Linked DNA regions of Struthio camelus. The protein of the gene in region 2 purifies or fractionates together with the protein of the main gene of each other region. This does not show direct contact. Links are inferred from orthologs where the notes say so. Each region holds a gene or a part of one and is shown on either strand. Other genes may lie near its edges.

The links. Proteins that work in one complex are often made in the same cells at the same time.
Region 1: the proteins of DDX20 (region 2) and SNRPF purify together in Homo sapiens (affinity purification with mass spectrometry; 5 studies listed by BioGRID and IntAct, counting the BioPlex papers as one, with this or other methods). This does not show direct contact. The link is inferred for Struthio camelus from reciprocal best matches to the Homo sapiens genes DDX20 and SNRPF.
Region 3: the proteins of DDX20 (region 2) and AGO2 purify together in Homo sapiens (affinity purification with western blotting; 3 studies listed by BioGRID). This does not show direct contact. The link is inferred for Struthio camelus from reciprocal best matches to the Homo sapiens genes DDX20 and AGO2.

The regions. Positions count from the first base shown.
Region 1 is NC_090942.1:52,290,956-52,299,037, reverse strand, and holds SNRPF (small nuclear ribonucleoprotein F), read right to left. Parts: upstream 3,768-8,082; 5' UTR 3,468-3,767; coding exon 3,465-3,467; intron 3,256-3,464; coding exon 3,130-3,255; intron 2,843-3,129; coding exon 2,778-2,842; intron 2,192-2,777; coding exon 2,125-2,191; 3' UTR 2,076-2,124; downstream 1-2,075. Other genes in the region: CCDC38 (coiled-coil domain-containing protein 38), read left to right, coding at 1,288-1,398. UniProt on the Homo sapiens protein: Plays a role in pre-mRNA splicing as a core component of the spliceosomal U1, U2, U4 and U5 small nuclear ribonucleoproteins (snRNPs), the building blocks of the spliceosome.
Region 2 is NC_090965.1:9,048,481-9,059,098, reverse strand, and holds the start of DDX20 (probable ATP-dependent RNA helicase DDX20), read right to left. Parts: upstream 4,949-10,618; 5' UTR 4,869-4,948; coding exon 4,673-4,868; intron 4,574-4,672; coding exon 4,479-4,573; intron 4,115-4,478; coding exon 3,946-4,114; intron 3,655-3,945; coding exon 3,540-3,654; intron 3,458-3,539; coding exon 3,315-3,457; intron 2,932-3,314; coding exon 2,793-2,931; intron 2,339-2,792; coding exon 2,280-2,338; intron 1,554-2,279; coding exon 1,471-1,553; intron 816-1,470; coding exon 710-815; intron 623-709; coding exon 521-622; intron 1-520.
Region 3 is NC_090943.1:168,309,236-168,318,561, reverse strand, and holds the start of AGO2 (protein argonaute-2), read left to right. Parts: upstream 1-4,751; 5' UTR 4,752-4,967; coding exon 4,968-4,998; intron 4,999-9,326.

The sequences.
Region 1 (8,082 bases), on a different chromosome or scaffold from region 2:
ATGGAGGCTTGTAACTGGCAGTGTCCCCTAGGGGTCAATACTTAGTCCAGTATTGTTTAACCTGTTCATCGATGATCTGGATGAAGGGACAGAGGGCACCCTCAGCAAGTTTACTGATGATACTAAACTAGGAGGAGTGGCTGACACACCAGAAGGCTGTGCTGCCATTCTGAGGGACCTGGACAGGCCAGAGAGCTGGGTGGAGAGGAACCCCATGAAGTTCAACAAAGGCAAGTGCAGGGTCCTGCACCTGGGGAAGAATAACCCCATGCACCAGGACAGGCTGGGGGTTGACGTGCTGGAAAGCAGCTCTGCAGAGAAGGACCTGGGTTTCCTGGTAGACAAGTTAAGCATGAGCCAGCAATGTGCCCTTGTGGCCAAGAAGGCCAGTGGTGTCCTGGGGTGCATTAGGCAGAGTGTTGCCAGCAGGTGGAGGGAGGTGATCCTGCCCCTCTCCTCAGCCCTGGGGAGGCCGCATCTGGAGTACTGTGTCCCATTCTGGGCTCCCCAGTCCAAGAGAGACATGGAGCTAGCTATTGCAGTGAGTCCAGCAGAGGGCTACAAAGATGATGAGGGGCCTGGAGCATCTCTCCTCTGAAGAAAGGCTGAGAGAGCTGTGCCTGTTTAGCCTGAAGAGAAGACTGAGAAGGGATCTCACCAACGGGTACAAGTATCTGAAGGGAGGCTGCCAAGAGGATGGGGCCAGACTCTTCTCCGTGGTGCCCAGCAATAGGACAAGAGGCGACGGGCACAAACTGAAACACAGGAAGTTCCACCTAAACCTGAGAAAAAACTTCTTTACTTACTGTGAGGGTGACAGAGCACTAAAAGGTTGCCCAGAGAGGGTGTGGAGTCTTCATCCTCGGGAGATATTCAAAACCCACCTGGACATGATCCCGTGCAACATGCTCTAGATGACCCTGCTTGCGCAGGGGACTAGATGATCTCCAGAGGTCCCTTCCAACCTTGGCCATTCTGTGATTCTGTGACATTTATGGGAGCTAACAGTCTCCTCTTTGTGTGGATATTAGCTACAAAGTCAGTACGATTGCATCTTTCCTTAATAATGATTCTACAACCATACTTCAGGCTTGCTTCATTACTCAGAGAAGCAGAGCGTTTCTTAGAGACACTGCACTATAGTGGATCTCTGTATTTCATCTACTGTGGGGTCTTTGCAACTACTTCCAAATAGTTTGTAAACACATTTAAAGATGAAGTGTATTCTAATAGCAACTATGTACATACCGTAAAGTATATACACTGCTGTATTTTCCTGTGTTTCAGACGGGAAGACGACTGGTATTTCGTTCACAGCCTCCAGCCGTTAAAGCAAAGAAGGTAGTTAAAGATGAAGTCCCTGCAAATACTGAAGATGACTCAGAGTTTTTCACTTAGAGGTGAAACTTACTTCCTACTGAAAACAGGGTTAACACAGCATTATGGCTGTCTTCTTAATCAACCAGTTGAGAGCAAAAGGAATCATTAGGAAAGCACCAGTACTCTGCAGCAGGCACATCAAGATGTTTTTAAAAGGTTTGTGCCACTGCTCATTCTACAGCCTGCATCATCACCATTAGAGAGAGAAAAGGCTGTTCCTGCAAGCTCCTTCACTCTACTCATCCATTCAGCTTAGAGCAGCAGAACAAGCCACGTACACAAGACGGGGAGTTCTTTATCTTCCATTATATGCTAGCCTGCACTGCATTATGGCTACCTGACAGCCAAGTACTGATACTAAATGGAGCTGATAAAAGAATGAGCCATATATTTTCTCCCAGAGTACACAGCTTGGAAGATTTAATTCAGCTCTGGGAATCACTTAAATTCAAATGATCGCCTTAAAAAACAAAACAACCGAAACCCAAAGCTTTTAAGTATTACCAGTCTCAATGTATGACAATACTTTTAATACTCACTTTTCACTCTGAGTTTCTCAGTTTCAAACTGCAACAATTTCTTCTTCCTCCAGCATTAGTTTTTCCAGATGCCATTTAGAGATTACAAGTGATTTAAGCATTAGCTTCCTCCATATTAAAATACAGAGAACGAGAAGTAAACACCTTATTACAAAGTTGTGGAAAATAAAAAAGAAAAAAGTTTATTTCCAGATATACAAAACACCTATTCCCTCATTTCTCCATCTTCTTCTTCTTCTTCCACACCTCTGATGTACAAAACATTATTGCACCTGTAAACAGAATCAAAAAATTCCCTTAGCTGTAAATATAGGTTTTAATTTTCCTCACATATACATCATTTTAGGCATTTTCCTGTACGACAGTAGCCCAGCAACAGCAAAATTCTGCATAGTAAATTGTTGCTGTTGACCTTGCACAGCTTTTCCACAAAATTCATTATAACTGCAAAAAATAAGTTTTTTTAAAGTATTAACTGATTAACAATGCTGTACAAGACAATTTTACTTTTGGATTAACAATTATGGTCAAGCTTAATATGCAAGCATGTAAAATTTTACTCTACCAACGCTAAGGGATTAATAATCTACAATACTCGGGAAAACTAAGGCATTCAATTACTTAAGAGAGGCATCATAAATATTTATTTACGAGTACTTCAAAATTCAGTTTTCCTCTCTTCAGGAGGAATCTCAGCATAAAAGAGTTTGTAGTCTTTGCCCAGGAATTACATTAATGCTTATTTTGGTATATACTTACACAGGAAACACAGCACCTAGCATTACAAGTTTTAGCACAACTGATGTGAAAAAATTTAGAAAGACTCTGCCTCCACCATAAGAGCCCCAATTACCTTACCTTATCAAAACTTCACCAAGGTGTCCAGACAAGGCGCCATCTATATACTCTTCTGTGTTTGCAAGCTTAAGAAGGAAACCAGCAAGCGTTAAAGTGATCGTAATAGAAAACCTCACAGAAAGCACCACGTTTTGCCCACCGGCTGCTGTCTGGCCACCTTGATCGCAGGAGGCCATGCGCAGCTCTCACCCGGCTCCGGTCGAGCCCGCAGCAGAGACACTACAGATCCTTTAAAAGTGCCCGTCCCCCCACCTCCCCCAAGCAGCGGGTGCTCCGAGTCGAGCACAGGGCTGCCCCAGCCCGAAAGACCTCAGCGTGCCCCGGCGACGCGCCCCGCCGACCGCCGCCTCACCTGCATGTTCATGTAACCGTCGACGGAGACGAGGTAGCCCTTGTACTCCATCCCCCACTTGAGCTTCACCATCACCGGCTTCCCCGTCAGCCCGTTCAGGAAGGGCTTGGGGTTCAGGGGCAGGCTCTGCCGGCGAGAGCGGCCCGGTCAGCGTGCCCGATCCCCGCCCGCCCGCCCCGCCCCGCTGCCTCGAGACCGTTAATAACGGCCGCCGCCCCGCCGCCTCGAGACCGTTAATAACGGCCGCTGCGCCCGCTGCCCGCCCGGCCCCCTCCCCCGCGGTGCGGCGCGGCCCGGCCCGAGCGCGGCCCGGCCCGAGCGCGCGCCGCCCTCACCATGGCGAGGCAGCGACCGAGGGGGACGCGCAGGCCGCAGAGAAGCTGCTGCCGGGCCGCACGTGCGCCCGCCGCAGACCGGGAGCCACGGGAAGGCAGGCCCGCTCCGGCTTTCGCTTCCGGGGCGGCGCCCTGCCCTCCGACCTCTCACCCCGCGGCGCCGCAGTTTCCATAGGATGCGGCACCCCTGCGCGCCAAGAGAAAAGCGGCGCTGCCCATTGGCTGGGGGCTGCCACGGGCCTCCCTCATTGGCCGAGCTGGCGCAGCTCGGCCGTCTTCCAACCAATGGTCGGTCCCGCCAGCGGCACCGTAGCTGCCGGCGACGATTTTGTGCTGCGCTTCTCGCCGTTCGGCGCCGGGAGGGGGCGGGGCCGGGGCGGCCGTTGGGGGAGCGGGGCGGAGTCGGGCCGGGGCGGCCGTTGCGGGAGCCGGGCGGCGGGCGGGCTGTCAGGGCCGGCGGGAGCCGCCTCCCGCCTCCGTGCCAGCTGCCTCAGGACCCCATGAGCTGAGTGGAGGCCTTCCCCTCCCTCTCTGCTTTGGTTACCTCGTGCCCGAGAGCCCCGCAGGCCCCGAGCGGTTGATTCCGTGCTCTTTTCACAGAATCACAGAATGGTCGAGGTTGGAAGGGACCTCTGGAGATCATCTAGTCCAACCCCCCTGCTCAAGCAGGGTCACCTAGAGCACATTGCCCAGGATCACGTTCAGATGGCTTCTGAATATCTCCAAGGAAGGAGACTCCACAACTTCTCTGGGCAACCTGCTCCAGTGCTCAGTTACCCTCACTGGAAAGAAGTTTTTCCTCATGTTCAAATGGAACTGCCTGTGTTTCACTTTGTGCCCGTTGCCTCTTGTCCTCTCACTGGGCACCATGGAGAAGAGTCTGGCCCCATCCTCTTGACACTCTCCCTTCAGATACTTGTACATACTGATAAGATCCCCCCTCAGTCTTCTCTTCTCCAGACTAAACAGGCCCAGCTCTCTCAGCCTTTCCTCATAGGAGAGATGCTCCAGTCCCCTCATCATCTTCATAGCCCTCTGCTGGACTCTCTCCAGTAGCTCCATGTCTCCCTTGTACTGGTGAGCCTTTTCCCCTCAAACCGGCAGAAACCTTCTTTCGCCTTGCAAATTGTACCGCAAGAGTAACACCTCCTCTCCCAGCCGAGCACAAATCTGTCACAGCTTAGCGATCCTGGCTGTGTGCGTGTAAGTTACACGTACACACTTGTGAGGGTGTGAAAATGACTACGCTGGAGTCGAAGGCGGTCTTTTCCAGACGTTAACGTTTTGTTCTCGAAGTTTGACAGCGTTGAGGACTGTTTTCAGCTCAGGAATATATTTACTCACATCTCTTGTTATAGCTGTGTGTCTATACAGATATATGTCCACGAGGTGGCAGTGTTTGACTTGGCTGATGACTGCGGCACCACACGGGAGACTTCTGCTAACGAACTTTCCTTCTAGTGTTATCTGCAAGTGTTGCAGGTCAAAACACGGTGGAATCAATTCCCATATAAAAATAAATTTGCAAACCAATACTCTTTCATTACTTCATACACAGGAAAGGCTGAGAGTTTAAAAGACGAATAAGCTATGTCCTTGCCATAGTGCTAGTGCTTTGCTCCCAGGCAAAGAAGCTGCCACAGCTTTTCTTGGCTGTAGAGAGCATCAATGTTTTCATGGTCATGAAACTTCTGCCCTGCTGCTCTGGCTATAATTCCTGACTCTTAATCTTCGAGACATTAACCAATCTTTGTACCATTTACTAATCTGTCATGTCTACGCTAATGTCTATGTTGTCTGTTCTAATCCACGTCTTACGTTATTATATGTGTGAATTTATGTACCTGCTTACGGAATATTCCCTTCATATTTAATATATTGGGTGCTTATGTGGAAAACACACATGTTCAGTAGCTAACCTTTCTGTAACAGAACTTTTTTTTTTTGGTGCACTCTACCTTCCAGAGGATAGTCCAGCTTCCTTCTGCTGGAAGCAAAAAACATCATTACCTGCTTAAATCTGAGTCTTTAATGCTGTCGAGCCGAAGAGTCTTTCTTCTCCTGAGCCAGGCTGCTTTCACGCACAGTGTTAGAGATTCTTTTATGGCTGGGTAGGAGTATGTAAGATTGGCCTTTATGATTCGTTTTAACTATCATGTATCAGAAGCATTCTCAGATGTTTGTTTCCGTCACCTTTAGAAAGGAGCGTGATTTTCCTTTGGAGTTTATTGTAGGCAAGAGAGACAACATTGGAATTAAGCCAATAGTCTTTCTGGTGGCAAGATTCACTGTGGGCCAGCTGAGAGAGTAATTCCAATTGTGTTATGAGCTTTCTATAAGAAAGCCTGGGTTGAGAAGAAGCAATATACAGGAAAAGCAAAATTATTCATGTCATTTGGAGCAAAAAAACAGCTGATTTCCAGCAATGACATGAACAATGTGGCAGAATGCCAATGAGTTTAGAGCCAGTCTCCTGGATAAAATCATGCTGTGGAAGTCATTTTTGCATTTTTCTGACAACTGCTAAGGATAAATATATGTATCTGTGAATGCCAATATAGCAGTTTTGGTATGTTATCTATAAACAACTTTTCTTATTTTTGTATACTTAGCCAGTTTTGATCACAGCGTCTCCAACTCATGCTGGGAGAACTTTTTAGATACCAGGTAATACAGGAGCAATTACATTCAGGTTTTAATTCACTCAGTTCCTCTGACAGATGACTAAATATTGCAGCCCTGTTTTTACAAAACCATTGTTGTCATCAAAAAAATAGAAAATTTGCAAGGTCATAGACAGCAGTTCTTGAGCAAGAGTACAGAGCAGGAATGCTTGACTTCTAGTTTCATAATCAGTGCATGAATTCACACATCAGTGATCTTGTCAACTGTACATTGCGTCTGCAGCAGTTTTGTGTGTTGGTAGGGTAGGAAGAAGTACTTTGCTGGAAGCACAGAATGCATGACTACATCTCATGTAGATAACTGGATAACTTGGTTAATCAGGAAACAGAACAGCTTTTTCTTTTTTTTTTTCTCCTTTGAGGAATTTGCTGTTTACTTTGCTGATTGAATCATTCTGACTCAGAGACAGTCTGCTTACGTGGGTCTTCTCCTGACCTTCAGCACAGGGGTGAATTTCACCTTTTGTCTTCTTTGTACTTCCCCATGCCGAGTAATAGTTTGCATTCTTTTCAGCCTTTGAGTCAGGATATTTAGTCTGTTGCTCAACAGGAAATGAACAGGAAAGAGTTTTTGTCATAGATTAATACAAACCTTAGATCTTGAGTGGATGGATAGTATTTTCTTTTACAGCTCAGAGGTGGGAATTTAGCATGACTGCCTACACTTAGTTCCTAAGGAAACACATTAAGCAGCTGAACATCCGATGGCGGCAGCAGCATTTCTGATGAAGCGATACATTAGACGGTGTTATCTGTGTAAGCGCAAATGCTCACTGACATCGTCAACACACCATGTCACTAATACTGAGGAGAGAAGGCTAGCGCCTGTTCAGCTCTCATTGCTGCAAGACAGCTGAGCTGCCCAGAAATATTTCCTGGTTGAGCTGAATGTGCTGAAACAGGAACTCCCTGCAGTAACTCCATGCTGCCTGTCAAAAACACATTTCTTAGGAAAATTTCTAGAGCTACCCATGTTTCCACTTTTGGACTGCAGACATAATTAATGTCCCACACCTTTTCCTAATGATATACCAGTGTAAATGGGGTTTTGCTCTGCTGCACTGTTCTCCCACATCAAGCAAGCTACTTTTGATAACCACATAGTTTGTCTCTGCTGGAGTCTTAGCAGCACCAACACAGACACCACAGAGGTGGGCAGCAGTTGCAATCAGAGAACTTAAAACAGACGTGAAGGTGCAGCCATGAATTAGGAGTGAGGAGAGCTGTATTACCAAATAGGAAGCTCCACCAGGAGGCTGCACCTTCAAAGGACAGATTTACATGAAAGTAAATCCAGTGCAGCAGCATGGAGTTAGCTTGGGTACACAATGGGATGAACTTCACCTTCTGGTTCTGTTGGGTTTGTACTTGACTCAGCTGTGTAAAGACCCAGTGGTCTTCCCATGCTAACCTGTCCCAGGTGAAGATGACTTGGCAGTATACCATTCTCCTTCCTGCCTCTTGCAGATCTCCCAGACCTCAGTGTCTGGTTCTTGAAGATATTAGGTGGTATGGTGCCTCAGCCTAAGCTAGACACTTTGTACAGTCATGTTGACTGGGGGATGATTTCTGACAGTCTTTCTATTCTAATTTCTTGGGGACACAGTGGTATGACTCTCATGGACCTGGAAGGATTTTGAAGTTGTGTGCGCCACTGGGAGAGTTTTACTGCTGTAGCAACCCTGTTAAAATATGGAGAGAATCTAAGTCTCAAGCTAATCTTGCAAGGAAATAATTTAATGTTTTTCTTCAGCAGTAGGCATAGTGGAAGAATTACCATTATAAATCATGGTGAAATGGAAAATCAGCTCTTACCTACAAATTTTCTGTAGAACGTATCTGCTGAGAATGAGAAAATTAAACTTTTGTCTAAAAATACTTTTTTTCAATAAGGATTGCAAATTTCTGATAGATGTGAAAAATCTGGATCAGCT
Region 2 (10,618 bases):
AATTTTTTGGGCATTTTGTACTAAATCAGGTGAAAAACAGAAATAAGGAAGGGTAAATGCTAAATCTCTAGCAGAACACCTGGCCTTCTGAAAAGCAAGGGTAGCAAGTCGTCTGCTGTTCCATTCGTTTCTTCCTTACTTCCACTACCGCATCCTAAGAAAGGCTTAATACTAGACAACTGCTGTTCTGTAACTTGCTTTGGTTTCAACTGTTTCTGGAAATCCAAGTATAGCTATGTAGCTGCCTAAACAGCAGCTGGATGCTGAGTTCCTCTCTCTACCCACAGGCATGCACTGAAGTTCTTCATGTTCTATCGCTTTGTACAACTGTGGCAGGTACACATTCACAGCAGAGGTCATCAGCACTGTGTACAAATGACCTGACTGTACTAAGCTCAGGGTAGCTACCTTCAGCCGAGAAGGTGTATGTCAGTTCACTGTAGACTTCTCTGAAGCATTGACTTAGCAGCAGAAAACAACCAACACCACCACAGAGCTGCATTCACAGGACAGAGCATACCTGGTAAGGGAAGAAGCCGAAGATTACATTTCTGTGCAATTTGCATCATCATGTTTTCCTCCTGTCCACGGCAGCAGTATGTCACAGATAAGCCTAAAGTTCCTACGATACACAACAGAAAGTATAATTACCTAACCAGACCCAGGGAAGCTAGCTCAAGCTTGATAAATCCACATGACACTATTTTACCAAAGCGTCCAGCTCTGCCAATACGATGCATGTATGTTTCCCAGTCCACAGGCACATCCAGATTGATGACCAGATTCACTTTTTCAGCATCAATTCCACGAGATGTCTTGGAAAAAGGAGTTAAGTAAATATACAGAACAGATCTTTAAAAGATACCACAGCACATTTGGGAGTTAACTGCTTGTACAGTAACCTCTATTCATCACAATACATTGCAGATAAAGCATCTACAATTGTCCAATCAGCTTATGGTATTAACATGTAGAACAAGCATATCACACTGGGGCCATGCAACACCAGGATCATTTTGCTTATCCCTTCTGTATAGGCAACACGAGCAAGTGTATTTCTTCAACATCAAAAACTCAACCCCACAGCATGACAGAACCTTAAGCTAGCAATTAAAGACAAGAACCACTGACCACAAAAAAGCTGCAGAAATCTCAGACAAGAAACATAACCACTGCTCTCCCTAAAGCTGTTTGAGGTGTTACTGTTTTGAGCTTACTATACTAAAACATACTCCTTCTCACAGTGTCTACTCAAAGTAAGCACCTCCACTCTGCTGAAACTGTGATTTTTGAAACAGATGAGAAAAAGGGTACAACTTCTCAATCTCGCAGTGAAAACAAGTCGCATTGAGTGCTCTTCAGTCACATACTTTATCAGTATGTTTAAGATCCATTCAATTCCAAGTCAAGTTTAACACCCTGAAACAATATATATGCAATTCTTGCATATGTTATAAAATACTAACTCACCAAGTCTGTGGAAATAAGAACTCTACAATGGAATTGCTTTAATTTAGCCATAGCATCAAGTCGTTGATTTTGATTCATGCCACCTAGACAGACAAAAATTTATACTTAGAAACTGAAATAAACATTAGAAACAGATTATCTTCTTCAGTTTCTTGCTCCTCAAATTCTGGAAAACACTGCTTTGTAAAGCATAGATGAGATTAGAGATAAAGTTGAGAGAAACTTCCCCAAACGTTAGTTGTAAATGAGTTAGCAAGAAGCAAACAAAATAAACTTGAAAATAAGGAAATCCATTACAAAAATTCCTACTTTTTTTACATATATACTTGACTCACTTGAATAACATTGACTTTAGAAAAGTTTTACTTGAACAAAAGCACATGTAGCCATGAAAACCACTGTGGAAGGAGAAATTCAAAGGAAGGCTTCTAACAACCGTAAGAGCTAGCTATCAGCCGTTAATAGAGAAGTTGGGGGGGGGGATTTAAATGCAACAACAGCTTTCCAAACAGACACTGCTTGAAGATGCAAGTGTAATAAACTTTCTCTTTAAAAATAAATCAATGCACTTGTCTAGATATTCATATAATGACTGTCAGCAACAGATTAAAAAGTAGAAAAGCTGATCAATGGAAAAATTAGATTAATAACATGCAAGTCTTTAAAGACCTGTGAAGATTCAAATACTATTCTTTGCTATCCAAACAGAAGTCTTACAAACCAAGCTTTTAAGCTGAATATTCCCATTTTAGATCAGATGTATGCACAAACTTCAGCCTAGAGAATCACAAAGTTCTGAACAGACTTACCTGAAATGCACTCAGCAGGAAAGCCTTTGGATGTCAGTATCTCAGCTAGATGTTGAGCCCTAACAGGACATACACAATGAAAACTAAATAAAACTACATGCTTAGCAGTACCAAGACAGTGCTAGGCATAACAGTCAATGTGTCCTTTTTAACAACATGCTGTTCTTTACAGGCAAGGATTACATTCCAAAATTGTCAGTCTCATCTTATGTCCAAACTAGTCAGTCACCTTACAGATTTTGCATCTGTCAGACCAGACTGGGAAAGTACGACAGGATATTAGTTCTCACTGCAGTCTAAACAACGTATGAGGTAACTTCATGCCAAAACATTCCTTTCTTTTCAATACTTCACACTGCTATATTTTACATGTTGTGACTGTATTTCAGATCTGAAATTTGCATTTGGCTTCAGCTGTGTTTTGAGACCTTTATAAAAGATGCTACATGACTGCATATTATAGCCACTGTTTTCAAGCATAGTTTTCTTCAGATTTCATTTCAGATTTATTACCTGCTATGCAAATTTGAGAAGACTAAGGCTTGATTAAATGGAATCTTGCTGAAGAGCTCCTGTAAGTGCTGGACTTTTTCCTCAAATGTCTTATGAGGAAGTGGATGGGAATTGACGATTTTGTAATACTGCTTCAGCCCTGGGCAAGGGGGAAAAAAAAAAGGCCATCAGATTAATGGCTTCAGTAAAAACATGCAATGTGCTATATTGTTGTCAACTTAAATGTAATTGCAGCTAGAAGAAAGACTAAGTTAGAACAAAAACACAGGTACCAAATAAGAACCTACAGGACAATTTTTCTTAAAAGAATGGAACATTTTTGAAGTATAGGAAAACCAAAAAAGTAACTTTATCACTGGTGTTTTAAATACAGCAATATTGCGAATAAACACTTAGTGAACTAACCAACTTATCTATAAAGGGAAATGATAAGGCACTGCAAGTGTTAAGGCATATATTTTGGTTTTATTATACTCCTAATAATCTATTTCATATAAATGTAAATGAGTTTCTTACACTTACCAACGAGACTTGGCTCAGTAGGGTTCAACCTCACAAATGTTGGCTCTCTCATATACCTGGTCAAAGCACTAGCTAATGATTCAGGATAAGTGGCTGAAACAGCCAGCATCTGCTTATTGGCCGGCAGCGAAGAGTAAATCCAACTACAAGAGAAGGACATTTACAAGAAAGACTCATAAATATGCATCTAATCTGCTAAGTGTGGGGGATAAACATTTTTCTTACTTAATTTGTTCCTGAAAGCTGCCTTCTTCTAGAAGCTTGTCTGCTTCATCAAGAATGAAGAGCCGGATACTGGCTGTATTTAAGTAATCCAACTCTATGAGTTGTTTTATCCGACCTACAAAAGATAAAAAAGTAATCTAGGCTTCACAAATATTAACTGAATGATTCTAATCAGGAGACTTATAATATTTAATTTTTTTAATATTAATTTCAATAAATTCTTTTTAAAAGGTTTATTTAAAATAATGTCTCAATAAAAACATTTGGCCTAATTTTTTTTTTAGCAGTGGCCTTTGAGATTGGCCCCATTAGTTAAAAAAAAAAATCAAGATTTCAAAAGCACCAATTATTGTAGTGTGAAAAGTGCGTCAGACTGTATCTGAAGTACACTGAAGCATGTCCATACCTGGAGAGCCAACAGCTATGTGGCATTTCCTTAGCCTTATTTTGTCCTGGTTCAAAGGAGTTCCTCCAATGAAGACATGGCACTCCAAACCTTCCATTTTTATTCCGATGGCTGTGACGACAGCATGAATCTGCACAGCAATCTCTCTTGTCGGAGCCAAGATCAGAATCTTTAAGGGACAAAGAATTAGCCTTGAAAGCAGCAGAATGGTTTAGAAGACAGAAGTACAGCAACCAGTCTTGACGCTACCAGCTTCATGATTTCAAACACCACGTTCTATATAAAAACCTACTAAGAGTTCAAACTCGTTCCTAACTACTAAACTCACACAGCAGCGGTAAAAACTGAAGTAACTTTTTACCACAGCACATGTCACTCATGAGGCAAACTAAAGGATGGCACGTTACAGTAGGGGTGGAAGCAGGAGTTTCACAGATGCGAACGCGCCATCTTCCAAGGCCACCTCAGCGGTTCCCGCTCCCGAGGTGGAGGGAAGGCCCGACCCCGGCAAGGGCCCCGGGGCCGGGGCTCACCTGCGTCGCGGGGTTCTCCAGCAGCAGGGCGTCCAGAGCGATGGCGGAGAACACGCAGGTTTTGCCGGTGCCGGACTTGGCCTGCACGATGAGATCTGGAAGAAAGCGGCCCGAGGGGGTCAGCAGCGCCGCCCCAACGCCCCCTCTCCCCCCCGCTGCCGGCTCGACGCCCCGGCCCGGCCCCGGCCCCTCACCCAGGCCGCAGCGCCCCAGCGGGATGGCCTTCAGCTGGACCGGCGAGGGCCTGTGGAAGCCAGCCGCCTCCAGCCCCGCCAGCACCGGCGCCGACAGCAGCAAGGAGCCGAAGTCGCTGGGGCCCCCGGGCACCAGGACGTCGCGCGTGCGGAACCGGCCCTCAGGAGGCGGAGGCGAGCCCGCGGGCGCCGCCATCTTGCGAGGCGGGACGGCGAAGAGGCAGCGCGGCCCCAGACGCGCCTTTACGCGCCGCCCGGGCCTGCGCACGCGCCGCGGGGGGAGAGGGGCGGGGCCGCCGGGCGCCAGGGGGCGGCGCGGATTGGCCGCCGGGGCCCGTTTGAGGGCGGGGCCGTTAACGGTCGCGGCGCGCCGCGCGCCCCCTCACGGAGCGCGGCCCGGGCCTGGCGGCGGTGCGGGGAGCGCGGAGGCTCCGCCGTGGGGCCCCGCAGCCTCCCGTGCCCACGGCTGCCAGGCCCGGGCCGGTTAGCGGTACCCGCCGCGGCCCCGTGGCAGAGCGGGGGCGGCCGCCCCCTCGGAGCACCCAGGCAGTGCACGCTGCCGCCGGCGAGGTTTTTGGCGTAAAAAACCCTCCAGAATTAAAATTCTACGAACTGCAAAAACAAATACAAAAAAAAAAATCGTTCTCCGTGTGGCCACGTGACAGAAATGATTGATTACACAATTTAGCCATGTGGCGTGATCCCTCGGGGCAAAAGCTGCGTTTGCTTTGCTCCGTCTGAAATCGCAGGCTCTTCATTACTATCCAAAGCAAGGCAATAAATAATGCGCTCGGCCTGGCGTACAGTTTATTTCAGGCTGATAGGCGCTTTACCAAAAATTTGACTCTTGTGATTGATGTGGTGGAAAAGGATATTGCCTTCTTAAAGACGAGTGGGTGGGATTTAGATCTTAGAACAGTCCCTGTAGGAAAACTCGAAATGCCCCGAGTTACCTGCCACAGCAGATGTTCCCCTCGGCTGGCAGGTACGTCAAATGGGACCTGGAACAATCTGTATGCAGTTTTAAATGACTTACCTTGAATTTTCAGTAGAGTAAACCACAGATGAATTTCTGGTTTACCAAAATCAGCAGAAAACGATCCCACTGATTTTGACTGAATTTCACATTCCAAGCGCGAATACTAATTCTCACCATGGCTCTATCTGTGCAGCATGTTTGTATCCTGTTTTTCTAAGGCCATTCTCCACTAACTTTTTCTTATCTAGTACCACTGCTTGCTCTCAGTAGGGATATCTCTTTCCTTCTTTTTTAAGACTTCAGAATCCACTCCTTATTCCTTAACGTCGTTGCTCCCTCCTCTGCCTCAGCTTCCCTATATGATGCTGCACGCTGTCATCTTTTCCTCCAGCAGCATTTTCTTCCTCATTTTTTCCCCCATTCTGTCTACAAGTGATCTTAGTATCTGATTCTGTCTACAAGTGATCTTTAGAAAAATTGTTTCTTGCTTATAGGTGAAGCTATGAGATAACCTTCAAACCCTTCTAACACCACTGCATTTCAGAGTTATCCTAACACGCAATATGAAGCTTCGTGGTCTGTACAATATTTGAAATAGACTTTGTGCAGTAAAATCTTACTGACTGGTGTATTTTCACATATTCCCATAACACAGGTAACCCACCCATCTCTGACTCTGATGAACATGCCATTCCACAGGTAGCTGGTCACCGACACAGCATATCTAGTTGAGTTTTTCCTAAACCTCGTAGTTCAGTCATAATAAGGAATAAGGTACCTTAAAACAGATGGAAACAGATACACGCTCCAAGAGAGGACAAGGTGCTTGCAAACGAGTTATCTGTAAAAGATCAGGATAGGGGACAGATTATGCCTCCCTGCCAGTCTACGGCAGGTTTGATGCGTTTAGTCCAGAAGCAGACTGTCTGCTTTGGGGGCTAATAATTACAACAAATCTTTGCAGCTAGCTTCCTGTTTTCATTTTGTTTTGTTTTGTTTTCTCCATTGACATTAGCATTTCCTGTTTACTGCAATAATTAGGGCTGTGACTCCCCGCTGTGTATCTCGTAGGTGCATTTAGCCACATAGAGGCAATTAATGATTATGTCTAGGAAAAAGTGATGCTTTAGATGGAGACAGATAAACCTATTCAGCTAAGCAACCTTTCATCCACTCCTGAGATCATTTGTCTTAGGAACAGCACAACAGCTTAACCTTACAAATATTACAGAGGATGAAACCTCTATAATACCTGAGCAGACACACTACAGTGAGATCTGGAGGCCTTGCTGCAAGACCAGTGCAGGAGCTTTAATTAGCCAATGAGTCTGAACCATAGAGAGAAAACGTGGCCCAAGGCATGTAGGAGGATGAACTGAGCACAGGGCGGAGTGAAAGAAGGCACCAGGCCAGAAATGGGAGGAGGAGGACACACGAGAATAGTCAGAAGAGAGGAGTGAGCATAGAGCGAGAGGGAGTCATAAGAGGAAATGAAGGCAGATGGGTCAGCAAAGGAATGATGTAGAAGGCTGCGTAAGAGGATGAGAAGTACAAAACTGATCGCAGTGCCAAAACAGCTTCAGCAAGCTTCTTGACAGGAGGTGCCCTGAGTATCCATAGCTGTATTAGTTGGGGGAGAAAGCAGTCACCAGTAATCTCTAAGCTATCCTACTGTAAGAAAATGGCACGAACATTGTGTTCTGACCCCTCTAGTTTCAGCCTTTGTTCTACCACCCTGACAACAGAAATGAGTTTCTTGTTAAACACTCTAAGTCTGGGATGCAGTTATATTGTGTACAAAAACAAGATCTAAAAGTCAAAGTGCTAGGAAAAATTAATAGTACAGCATTAACTTCAGCAAAGGCCAAATCTATTAATCTCTTGTATATGCATTACTTACTACCTTCTGTAGACTGCTTATTTTAAATTGTGTGTGGTTTCATTATACATATCAGTTTTTATTGTCATAGCCCTTCAGAGGATCTGGACATGCAGCTCCCATTCGTTGTAAGGGGATGTGAAAAATCTCAACAGTGGCTTCCAGTGTATGAGTACATACACTGGTTCATTATTCCTACATTGCCAGGCAGCCTAAATGAATTTTAAAGGCTCTTAGCGTAGTACACTCTCTGCGACTCCTTTGCAATTCCATCATATTACTGATGGGGAAAAAAAGTCTGTTTTTTTTTAATGATCTTTTTACATGAATATTTGAGTACCAACCAAGACTGGGGCCCCATTGTGTCAAGCACAATACAAAAAAGAATATACAGTTTCTGCTTTGGAGAGCTTATCTCTACGAGGTCAGGACAAACCAGATGGTAGGGAGGAGAACTCTGCCACAGAGCAGAGGTAACAGGATAGCTATTCACAAGCATTCTGTTAGTTCCAATTATTTTTCAATTTTTAGGTGGATATTCCCAGTTGGTCCTAAAGGGGAAACAAGTCTCTAACATGAGAGAATTGTCTCCGGATAAATCTGGGAATGGAGACAGACAAGGAGACCTGGACATAACAAATGGTTTGATTAGAGACAGCCTCTCATAACCCTTTTAAATTGATCTGATTTGAACAGACAATGAAGAGCAGTGGGAAGTATCTGCACCCTACCTGGGGGAAGGACAGGGAAGAAGTGATAAAGCAACTGCAGCAGGCATGGATATAGCAGCAAGGATAGCAGGCATGTTGTAATGCAACTCAGGTGATTTGGTTACAGAAGTCATCGTTCTCTGAGATGCATTGTTAATAGGACATTGAGATGCACTACCTTAATTCCAAAGATGCTGCTGTTTATTTAATTTTCTCAATCTCCGTCAGATGCAGGAGGGAGAGGTTCCAAACCATCTCAATGTCTATGCTGAGTAGCACTATGACACCACGACTGGCAGATTTATTGTTCCTCTCCCTTTGTTTTTGGCCCTCACTGGTTGTGCTGTGTCAAATTGAGGACATGCTCCTCATGCATGAGGGGGACATGCAGTCCCCCTCATTCCCCGCAATGTGCATACAGCCTGTAGCTCAAAGTTGGCAGATAGGCTCTTTTGCATGATTTCTCAAGTAAATCTGTGGACAGTTGCTAATTCACATTAATAAGCCCTCCCAGCCATTTCATGTGGTCTACTGTGTTCCGCAGCACCTGATGTTTCACATAAGCTCCAGCTCCAGAAGCGTCTGCAGGTCATGCGTACCTGCTCAGGTACAAAAACGAGCTTAACTCTGCCTCTATACCATGCCAGGAGCCCTGGTAGATGATGATGTTATCGAGGCATGACTCAGGATGAGACTAGACTGTCTGTGTCTGATAGACCAGATGCTCAGATCCTAAAAGCTTTCCCTCTTGAGCTATCTCAGTTCATCTAACGAAAGGTTTTGCTTCTCCCTTAAACCTTACACCTGTAGAAGATTATGACTCTACTGCTACTAACTTTGTTTTAAAATCTCTGAATATATATATTCTGCCATGAGTCAAAGGAGTGCCTTTGCCTCTGGGTTTCAGATCCAGAAAATACACACGGTGTCTCACAGTAAAATGCGAGTTATCAGGTGCATTTTGATTTAATCAAATAGTTTTGTAGAACAAATAACTCACAGTCAAAACTACAGAGTGGTGCAAACTGAGATACTTCCAGTCTCTCTGTACAACCATGCAAATGTGCTAAGGGCTCACTATCTGACCTCTGAGGCCCCAGCTCAGTTTGCTGCCCTGTACTCGTACATCGCACAAAGCTCCATGCAAGAGGGCACTGCCTGTGTGCAGCAGCTGGCAGGATTATTGCCTGGTTCGCGAGTCACAGCATGTGCACCGTGACAGTCTTTTGCTGCATTTGAAATGGAGACAAATGCTAATTCCCAGGAACTTGCTCTTCTTCCTGCAGGGAAGACGACTGCTTTCTGTCCCAATTCTATCAGAAACTTTGCTCTCTAGATGAGGGGGCCTGAAAGGTTCCAAAAATCATAAAGAGTTTCTCCCATCCTGGGCACAGACAGGTAGATATAGACAGAGTGCATCATAAGGAGGTTTTCCATTCCTCTTTCAGGAGAAATTCTGGCAATGTTTGGGTGCAGAATGATGCTACTGCACTATACAGAAATGATATACACAGTTAAAAGAGCAATGTGTAATGTAGTTGTTGAAGGGGGAAAAAGTGTGGGCTTCACTCCAGATAAATAAATAACAGCCCTTTATAATCTTAGATAAGTTTTTATACCAAGATTTGCTAAATTATTTTCAGTTAGTATAAACAGGATCTAGGTCACCAAAATGCAGCCAACTGAGAGGTAATACAACAGTTCTTTAACACCATATAGCACAGTGAATGACGTAAGGTGTTTTCTTCTCCTAGTACAGGGAATATTCTTACCCAGTGCAAGAGCCAGAGGAATGTCATGGGTTGGAATCTGGCTGGAGCAAAGTTAAGTTTTACTCTGAGGAGGGGTGAGTGAGGTAAGGGCATAATAGGATCTTTAAAGACCACAAACGCAAACAGTGCACGCAACGAGCAGCCTATTGGAATAAATGGTCAAATTCCGAGCGGTAGTTTACCTCCTCATGCACAAATGAAAAGAATAGAATTACATTTTTGACATTATATTCTTACCTATCTCTTGGCTGGTTGTTTGTGCCTCAGTGGACTTAAACAAAGATGGATGCAATTCAGGTCACGCCACAGCCTCAGTGGGAAGCAATTCTGAAAAGTTTACCTTCAGTGTGCAAGCAAGTAAAAAATGAAAGAAAATTCAGAAATATCCGTGGATGTTGGTTCAACAAAGAACAGTCAAGTGAAAGCACTGCGAAACAAGATCAATGAACTGAAAGACAACAAATGAGATAAAGAAACCCATCAGCTGTACAGGGACGGATGTTTTCTGAAATAGGAAGGAATGAGGCATTTTACGTAAGCTGAATACACCGCTCTGAAGGCATATTCTATTTTTTGCCCAAAGGTCTCAGTTTTTCTTTTTATGTT
Region 3 (9,326 bases), on a different chromosome or scaffold from region 2:
ATAGAACAAACTTCTACTACTATTGTAATGGTAAGTGCACAGTCCATATCCCCAATAGGTGGTGCTGCACCTTTTTCATAGGGTTTAATTGTTGTAATATTGGACCCCATCACCTAGGAAGGTGAGTACTTCTCGAGTGAAATGAAGTCAGGAATCTAGTAATAATATATATTTTTTTAATATAAATAAGTAAGTGTTACATTTCATTTGGTAAATGAAATAAAGTATGTCTTTTTAGCTTAGCGGTTAGTACAGTCACCTAGGTATAGGGAGACAATATTAGGTTTTGGTCCCTCTACTGCAGATTATTATTTTACTGATCACTCTTTTCATCACAAGTAAACAGTCCCTGGAGAAGAGACCCTCCGAGTCTATCTACCATGTGAAAACATTAGATGATAGAGTCACGGTCGTTTTCTCTTTTGTTCTGATCTCATTCATTTTATATTATTATTATGCAAAGCAGGATAGAGAATATGTGAGAAATCTAATACATTACATCTAATACAATATAAGTTAGAATCTCCTCAGAGTCACAAATCAAATCTACATGATCTTTCTCCAAGTAAAAATTCTTACCGTTTAACATTGTTAACAATGTCTAACAGACGTTCACAAAATGTGGTTTTAAAATTAATTCAGTTTCAAAAGGGGAGGGTTGTTACTTAGTGAAATCAATGCACATTTTCTCACCAGAAGAGAAGCCATATATTTGCCACTAGACTATTTGTATGTGAAATATTTATCCCAGATGATTGCCGCTGCTGATATAAGTCATTTTTAAAAGCTGTTCATAAATACCATTTTCTCTTCCAAAATGACTAAAAGCTGCTTGTTTTTTCCAAAAACAATGATTCCTTCTTTGGCAGATATCAGTTCTGGGAAATTTCAACTTTAAATCCAGCAGTTATGGTAGGGTATTGTGGCCAACAGTCAGTCAAATCTTTCTTTAAAGAAAAACATTTTTGAATGTTTCAGCAATTCTTCTTAAACTACTGCGTAATTGTTAATATAGTGCATGAGGAGCATGTATATAGGAATGCTTTTATAGAGTTTTCAAACCACATTGGCCTCAGTCTTCTCAAAAACTGGTGTCTTTTTTGGCGAAGTTGCCTGGTAAGGTGTAATTAGTTTTCAGTGCGCTCTGGAACATCAATTGTCAGGTAAAATGATTAAGAGAAAGCTTTAGAAGTAAAACAAGTTAGCAGGCCCAAAATGAGCGTGTGCCCTGTAACTGCAAGAGGAGGGTAGACAAGAGCTGTAACTCTCCTCTTTCCTCGACACACAGAAAAGTTGCTGAAAGTGCAGAGTAGCATGAAAACAGCCTAAAGGAAGAACAGAACTTGTCTACATGAGAAAACAGTAGTTAAATAAAACTATTTAACTGATTTACTATTTAACTGATTGTGCAAGTCCGCAGTCATGTATACACAGTGATAATGCCCTTTTGCTTATAAAGTTCTAAATCCACAAAAATCAGCTCTAAATCAATATGAGTATATTGCAATCTAGGAAGTTCCAGGTATTAATTGCTGTTTTCAGCATCTATATTTTCCAGGTAATTTCTGAAATCAATTGCAGAGCGTCCTCTGGAGCCCAAGAGAAGTGTGGGCTATGTGTTTACCATCTTGTGAAACCTCCTGCTGTATATCACCTATCTTCTACTGCTTGTTAGCTTGTGCTGTCTTCAAACCGCTAGCAGGTACAATCATGAGCAGATATTTTTCTTCTCTTTTGCAGCCGTGTGCGGTGTCAGATGAAGTTCCATGTGGGTATATCCCTTCAGCGTGTAAGCTTCACTGACCATTGCTTTCACGCCAGCATTTCACGAGCCAAATGGTGTAGAAAGGTGGGACAGGAAGATCTGCGTTTCTAGAACTACAGGATGGGGAGAGGGCCTTTTTCCTGGAAGTCTGTACTGAGCTCATGCCACACATCTACCAACATGAGCAGGTATTTCTTCACGTGGAAAAATATAATGCAGTAGTTGTTGCTCCTGTCCTTTCTATCCGTGTTGCGGGCCCCAAAGGTGTGAATGTTATGATGGAGGTTAGCTCAAGTGCTACTGGTTGAGGCGACCAAATTAGGCAAGCCTAGATTACTGATGTTTTTGCGAATGTAAGTTGTGTTGTTTTTCTGAGGAGACCCATGCATCTGTTATTTGTGGGTTTTTTTCCTCCCCCTAGGAATTGCCGTTGGAGTCATAATTGGGAAGGACTATTTTACTGCAGTATGCAGTGATGGTCCTGGAGGTCCGTTGACCAAATCCTCTTAACCTGAAATATAGCCCTCATAACCTAAATCTGTGCACTTTGTGTGGTTAAAATTTTTACAATATGAAAGCTGATTCTCCCAAAATACGACTTAAGAGTACAAACTTATAAATGAAAAGTTTATGTTATCATACTTGAAGTAGGTCAGCTTTAATAAAATTTTGGAGTGCTAATGCATCTGATTGTCTAATGCGTGAGGTGTGCTAATGGTGGTGGTATATATGTTACTGCCACATCACATCAGATGCCAGGCTAAAAAGTCACTAATTTTGAAATGCTGTGGTTACTTGTGATGATGGCTTATTTTCATCTTGCATTCTGTGAATAGCAAACATAAACCATGTAATTTATCTTGCTAAAACAATAAATAAACTGCTGATATGATAAAAGCTATACTAGCTCCCCTCCTTCTAGTCTCTCACATGAAACTTTTGAACACGTGCGTGTAGTGGTAAGTGCTAAGGGAGGACCACAGCTACTTAGCTGAGCCGCTGCTGAGGTGAGGCAGTAAATTTAGGCTTAATGTGTGAGATCAGGTGATGGCTACTGGATGCTAACTTCTCCATGATCATCACTTTCAATAGACCATTTTCGAGAGACCAGTGTATTTTCATGCTCTCTTGTCCTTAAATGCAGAAGATCTAACAGGCATCGTACGATGCATGTTAAACTTCCTAATCAGAAAGAACAGAAGAGATTGATTTAAATATAATATCAAAACCTTCGATGCTGATACAGGGGCTGCATGAGTTCCCACTGTCACCTCAGCATTTAGTACCGTCTAATAGAGCAGAAGCGCAGAGTTGCCTCAGATGACTCTCTTTTGGCTCGTTGTTTTTTTGGATTTTGTTCTGCTTCCAGCCTCTGGAAAGACTATTTAGCATAAACAAGGAATTAATGGTGTTTATGCAAAAAATCTACCCAAATCCTCAGAGGGGACAACAGCAATCCCTTTGACAGCTCCCTTGGCTGTCTTCAAAGTCTATCTTTACAATTTTGCTACAGTATGTCTCTTTACCGATTTTGACTCATGATTTTGTCCTTTATTTGTTTGCAGTTACCAGTAAATTTTAACTTTCTGGCAACTAGAGGAGCCTGGAGAATAATCCTTCCCCTGGAAAGTCTAGTGGTGACAACGGTTTTAGGTACAGTACGCTTGAAATGAAAGCTGAGCTCAGAGTAGAGACTTTTGAATATCTATCAGTATGACCCAAAGGGAAGAGTGGATGTATAGCTGACGTAACTCTGGCATAGTGGGATGCTTCTGTAGAGCTTCAGATGTAAACTGGTGAAGGAGGATGCTGGCTTGACTGACAACGCAAGCAGTACGTTCACCTTGTGCTTTAGCACAAGTAGTATTTACTGAAGGAATTCAGTTGACTTTGAAAGGGCTTTACTGTCCTGGGATGCTTCCTTTCAGGCTTTTTTAAGAGGTTTCATCTAAATGAGAGGAGTAGAGCAGGTACGTGAAACTATAGATCAGCGTTGCTATATTCTAACTCTGTAACTAACACTTTCTGGTGGCAGCGAGTGGCATCAGCTTGCCTTTTGCATCCATAACAGGCTTTAAGAATTTTATTCCTACTTTCTCCTCCTGAAAGGAAGAAGTACCAATGAGGTGATTTCAAAAGGATGACGACTCTTGAAGGAATCATCATCATCACTGCTATCTCTGGGTCTCCGTGCATCATACTGACCAATACTGTCTCTTTCACATTATAGAAATTACTGGTTGGTATTCTCCTGTATTAAATTTATGACCAGAGATTATCTTGTAAAATACGCTAGGTACTAGACCACAGCTGGGTTTCATAAGTACGACAAGAAGTGGATGCAGCATGGAGGTGTGAGATCCACGAGGTGAGCGATCCGAGGTTTTTCAGAGCAGCGTTGCCCTTGTTGCGTGAGGCTGTGGGGAGGAAGAACTGAAGGAACTAAACCCCGTTTTCAAGTAAACAGGGCATTCACAGGCAGTACAGATAACACTGACGCCGCTCCATCATCCCTGTCACGTGGCGTAGCTAGGCAGGCCGCCTTAAAGTAGCGGAGAGGGAGCTAGAGGAACTTAGTGTTTTATTTACCAAGCTCTGGTAGAAAGAGGGGTCTCCAGCAGCCCTGGCTGCAGCACACACTTTGTTTTAGCCTGACTGATGACGATACACCTGCCCGAAGGCCTCGGTTCTTCCCGGTGGGTGACTCCAGGGCCTAGAAAGACCCGTTCGTGCTGGGTTAGCCACACTGGCAAAGACTGTAAAAAGAGCGGAGGGCTCTGAGGGCGCGTGAGCTGTTCGGCGCCAGCTGATGAAATCCGTGGAGGGGAAGGGAAGAAGACGAGGAGGCGGCGGGAGAGAAAGGGGGCGAGCGCCGAGCGGCCGGGGCTGGCGCCGCGGGCGGCGGGAGGGAGCCGGCGGCGGCGGGCGGGGCGCCCCTGCCCCGTGACCCCCGCGGCTCCTCCCTTCTCCCCACCCACCGCCCCGCTCCTCGGTGCCGCCGAGTAACCTGGTTTCCCGGCGTCGGCCCGGCCCTTCTCCTCCCTCTTTTTTCCCACTCCCCCTCCTTCCTCCTCCCCCTTCGCCGACAGCGTAGCCGGGGCTCGGGCTCTCTCGCTCCCTCCTCCCCTTTCCCTCCCCTCGAGCTGCCGCCGCGGTAGGGAAGCCGGAGAGAGGCGCCGCCTCCGCCGCCGTACACGGAGACATGTACCCGGGAGCCACCTCCGCCGGACCCGGTGAGGTTTGGGCCGCTTCGGTTTCCCTTTCCCTCACCTCCCGCCCCGCCGACTTTCGCAGTCGCTTCGCGGCGTGTTGTGGAGGGGTTGGGTGCGGGGGTGGGGGGGGGGGAAGGTTTGAACTCGGGCTCCGTGTGCGGCGTTGGGGGGGGGAGGGGGGAAGGCGGAGGAGGGGTGTGTGTGTGGGGGGGGGAGGTGGGTGACCGTTGGCGCACGCGGCGGTCTGTCAGCGCGAGGCGCCGCACGCGCCCCCTCTGCCCCCCCCCCCCCAACCGTCGCCGCCGCGAGGCGCCAACGGCCGCCGGCGAGACGTTGGGGGGGGGGGGGAAGATCCGCGCGGCCGCCCTCCCCCCCCCCCCATCCGCCCCCACCTCAGTGCCCTCCCGGCCCGGGCCTGCTCGCTCGTAGCCTCCGTCCGAGGCCGCGCTGGCGGGGGAAGGAGGGGTCAGGCCGCCGCCGCCGCCACCACCTCGGGGAGGGAGGCGAGTGAGCCTGCGTGTCCTGAGGCCCCTTCGAGGGGAGGGTCGCCGTGTGTTCTGCCCTCCTCTCCCCTTCCTTCCTCCCTCCCTCCCTCCCGCGGCGGCGAGCCCCGAGGCAGCGGGGAGGGGCGAGAGGAAGGGGCTGCCCCGCTCCCCCTTGCCGGGGCCCGGCTCTGTGGTGGCCGCTGGGGCAGCGCCAAGCGGCGGGTCACCCTCGGCCGCCTCGTCCCCCCTCTATGCGCTTACGTGCCGCCTTGCCCCGGCCGTTGGTGCCAGCTCGGCCTCCTGCTGGCAGCGCGGCGCGGACGGGGGCGGCGGAGGTGGTTGGAGAAGGGGGGGGGTGCGGGGGGGGTCTCCATTTCCTCCCTCGCAGCGGCCGGGGGTGCCGCGGCCGCCTTTGCCCGGCGGCGTGTCTGCAGCCGCGGCCTGGCTGTTGGGGTGCGGGCGGGGGCTGCGTCCCGCTGTCCCATAGGGATCCGGTGAGGTTCTCGCCTTCAGTCGCCCTTCAGACTTCGGTGGATTTTTGTGAGCGAAGGGGGAGGAGGACGCGGGCAGCAGAAGCGCTAGCAACTTGCTCGGGGACGCTAGTGTTGTTCAAGGGGAAGGATAAGTTAGTATTGTGAGAGCTTGTGTCGTTAGCGTGTAGTTAGCCTAACGCTCGAAAAGAAAACAACTCTCCTAATGTAGAAACTATTATTTTTACCTTGTTTTTTTTTTTTCCAGAAAAAGTTTAAAAGTGAAACTTCCTGTATTTTATATTACTGTTCTTCATAGGTTTGTGTAAAATCTTTTTCCCGTGAAGGGAAGATCTAGTAAGGAAAAGTGCAGAACAATATAGGACCTGTAGCTCGGACCCTTCTACTGTTTCTCTCTTGCAAATGCTGCCACAGTAGCAGCATTCACCTTAGGATCTACAGTTAGGTGCTGGCTTCCTCTTCCCCCCCCCCCCCCCCCCCCCTTTTCTGTCTGATACTATTACCCTGAAGGAAAGAGAATCGAGAAAGGACCGGGACGATAGCTGTCCTTTTAGGAAAACCAGAAGAGCTATATTCTTCCTTGCTTTTCTTCCTGTAGTTCATGAAGGCTTTTACTATACACAGCAGGAAGACAGACCGCTGTAGCCGCGTGCATCCAGACTGATGACGTTCAATACTTTGGTTTTAAGTATTGGGCTGTCTTCAAGTTTCAGTACCAATAGCTGTGCATAAATACTTACTTTATCATTTGCTTGGCTTCTAGTGTCAGGTTCTCTTGTTCACTTTCAGTGTGCAGATAATCTTGGTGCTTAAATTGTGCTGCTGTTAAGGCTGTTACGTTCACCCCTTATTGTTACATCTTTTGCAAAATTGTATATAAGGGTTCTTCACCTATCTGGAGGTGGGGTTTTTTTGTTTTGTTTTTTAAAGGAACCAAATCATTGAAAAAATTGCCAGTATATGGACTGAGAGCAGGTTTACATGTGGGAGCAGTCTATCTTCTTCCGTTTGCTCTTTATCTGATCCTAACAGTGTCCCTTCTACACAGAATGATCTTACTTCCACAACACTGGCACAGGTGGTTGCTGTTTACTGCCAGATCCAGTGCGTATGTGTATTTTTCCCCTTATCAGAACAACCCTCTCTGAGCCCCAGAGAGCAAACACCATACCTTTACTGAGCTGCTATTTCTCTGCAAGCACTGCTGTCCGGTGCCGCAGGCTTCTGCTATTCCGCTCCCTTCAACTAAGCTCGTCTTCTGTCTCGTTTACTTCCCAGTTTATCTTGGGCTCAGCTTTTTTTCCCTCTGCAGAGCCAGGCAGGGACAGCGTCTGGTCTAGAGCACGAGCTGCAAGTTGTTGTCCGCATCGTTTCCTTCCTGTGCAGTCATCCACAGAGAGCCTTACCAGGGCAGTGGCTTTTAGCAATCCGAAAAAGCTTCCCGTTCTGCATCAAATCATACGGCAGGACCTTTGATTAGAGTTTTTAAAGAGGGAAGAGCTGTATTGTGAACCAGTCTGGAAACGGAGACTGTCAGCAGGGTGCTTGGTTTTGTCCTGTAGGCTAAACGTGGCCTGTGCACTGCTAGTGAAAGTCCCCTTCCACGTGTTAATCTGATACGTATCAAGCGAGCGTATGCTGAGATCCTCTTCAGAGGAATGAGCGAGCAGGAGTGTGGTTCGCAGACGTTCAGTAAGGCACAGCTGCTGTAAGTGCAGGAGAGCTCCAGCCTCTACATGTCTGTCACCACATCCTTGACGCAGCTTAAATGCTCCATTCATATCTCTTGTAACTTGGGTCTGGCCGCTGTTTGGTGGTTCGTTGAACGATGTTGCAGCATACGAGCTACTTTACTCTTCCTGCTCCCGTCACCAAACTGGACACCACAGCCATCCCTGTTCTGAGGGTGTTTGTGGTGTTGGCCCTCTGCCAATGTAATCACTCAATTTGCCACAGGGTTTGCTATTTTAATCTTCATTCTTTTTCTGGAAACAGTATAAAGCAAGTTAGGAGGCTGCATCTGACTAATTTAAAAAAATTGCAGCTAAACCTGGAAACTTTGTTCTAACATGCTGTTACATTGGGAGTAAAATATTTTTATACAAGAGAGTAAGATGTTTGTGTACAGATCACGTTTTTATGATTAGAAAAGCTATGATCTCCATTCCTTTTTCCCAAAATATTGTTCAGCTTTGAGACTTTACACTGGTGCTCCTTCTCCTTCAAGAGACTATAGAAAGACTACAGTTTTGAAAGTATGAAACTTTTTTTTTTTTTTTTTTAATTAATATAGATACTTTTTAGGATGTGTTTTCCTAGAAGGACAGGAAGATATCAAGGAGGTATAATAAAAATACTGTTGTTAGATCAGTTGAGTTTGAGGAAGTGATTGAAACTTGCACAAACTTCTGAAACTTGCACTGCTTAGTATTCACATATTTATAAATTCTAAACTTTGCATGCTATAGGTTGTCTCTTTCTTTATTTGAAAGAATATTTGTTTTTGTTCACTATCTGAGGTTTTAATTTGTTGTTGAAGGAGCACTTACTTGGAAAAAAGGTGACTTCAAAAAAAAAAGGGGGTTGTTGCTTTACGTATAAAATAAACTTTTTTTTTTTCCTGGTATGAAAAACAAGTTTGAGTTTTCTGTAGCAGGCTGTTGGCACCTGCCTCAGTAACACCAAGAACTCCCTTGTATCAAGGGTCTCCTCATCACCTGCCCAATCTTTTACTTCTTAGAAAGCCTCTTAATATTATTTTTAGGTTGAAACTGGGCCTGTTTGTATTGTGCTGTCCTGCTGGTATCACATGTTTGCACAGGTTTTTGGGGCTTAATTTTAGACAGTAAATTATGTTGAAATTCATTATAAGCTGCCATATGTAAAAGAGGAAATGATAATTTAATATACAGCGCGCTCAATTTTTTTTTTTGCATGAGACTTTTTTTTTTTTTTTTTAGACTTAAATCACATTTGACAGCCTACAATGTACAAAACGCAGGTAACTTTTTTAAAATATTGTTGTCATGGCCAGTATATTTTCCTAAGAAAGGAAAAGATTCCATATTATTGTTTCCACTAGCTGCATGGTCTTAGGTGGCTTAAAATGAGGGAGTTATTTGGTGAAAGGATGACTGATGTTACACATACGAACCAAAGCTTTCTCCTTTTCTTAGTGAACCAAAGATTCACTATGTGAAAAGTGAAAATTTTCAGCAGTGACTCTGACGTACTGACTATGCAGTAATGCAGGATTTTTGTGCGTTTATTTTTCCGTCAACTTGAAGTTTTTCCTTTTTGCAGAAATATCAGACACTCATATATTCAACTGTGTTTTGTAATGTGTGTAGAAGGGAGTGCAGAGGTCATGTGG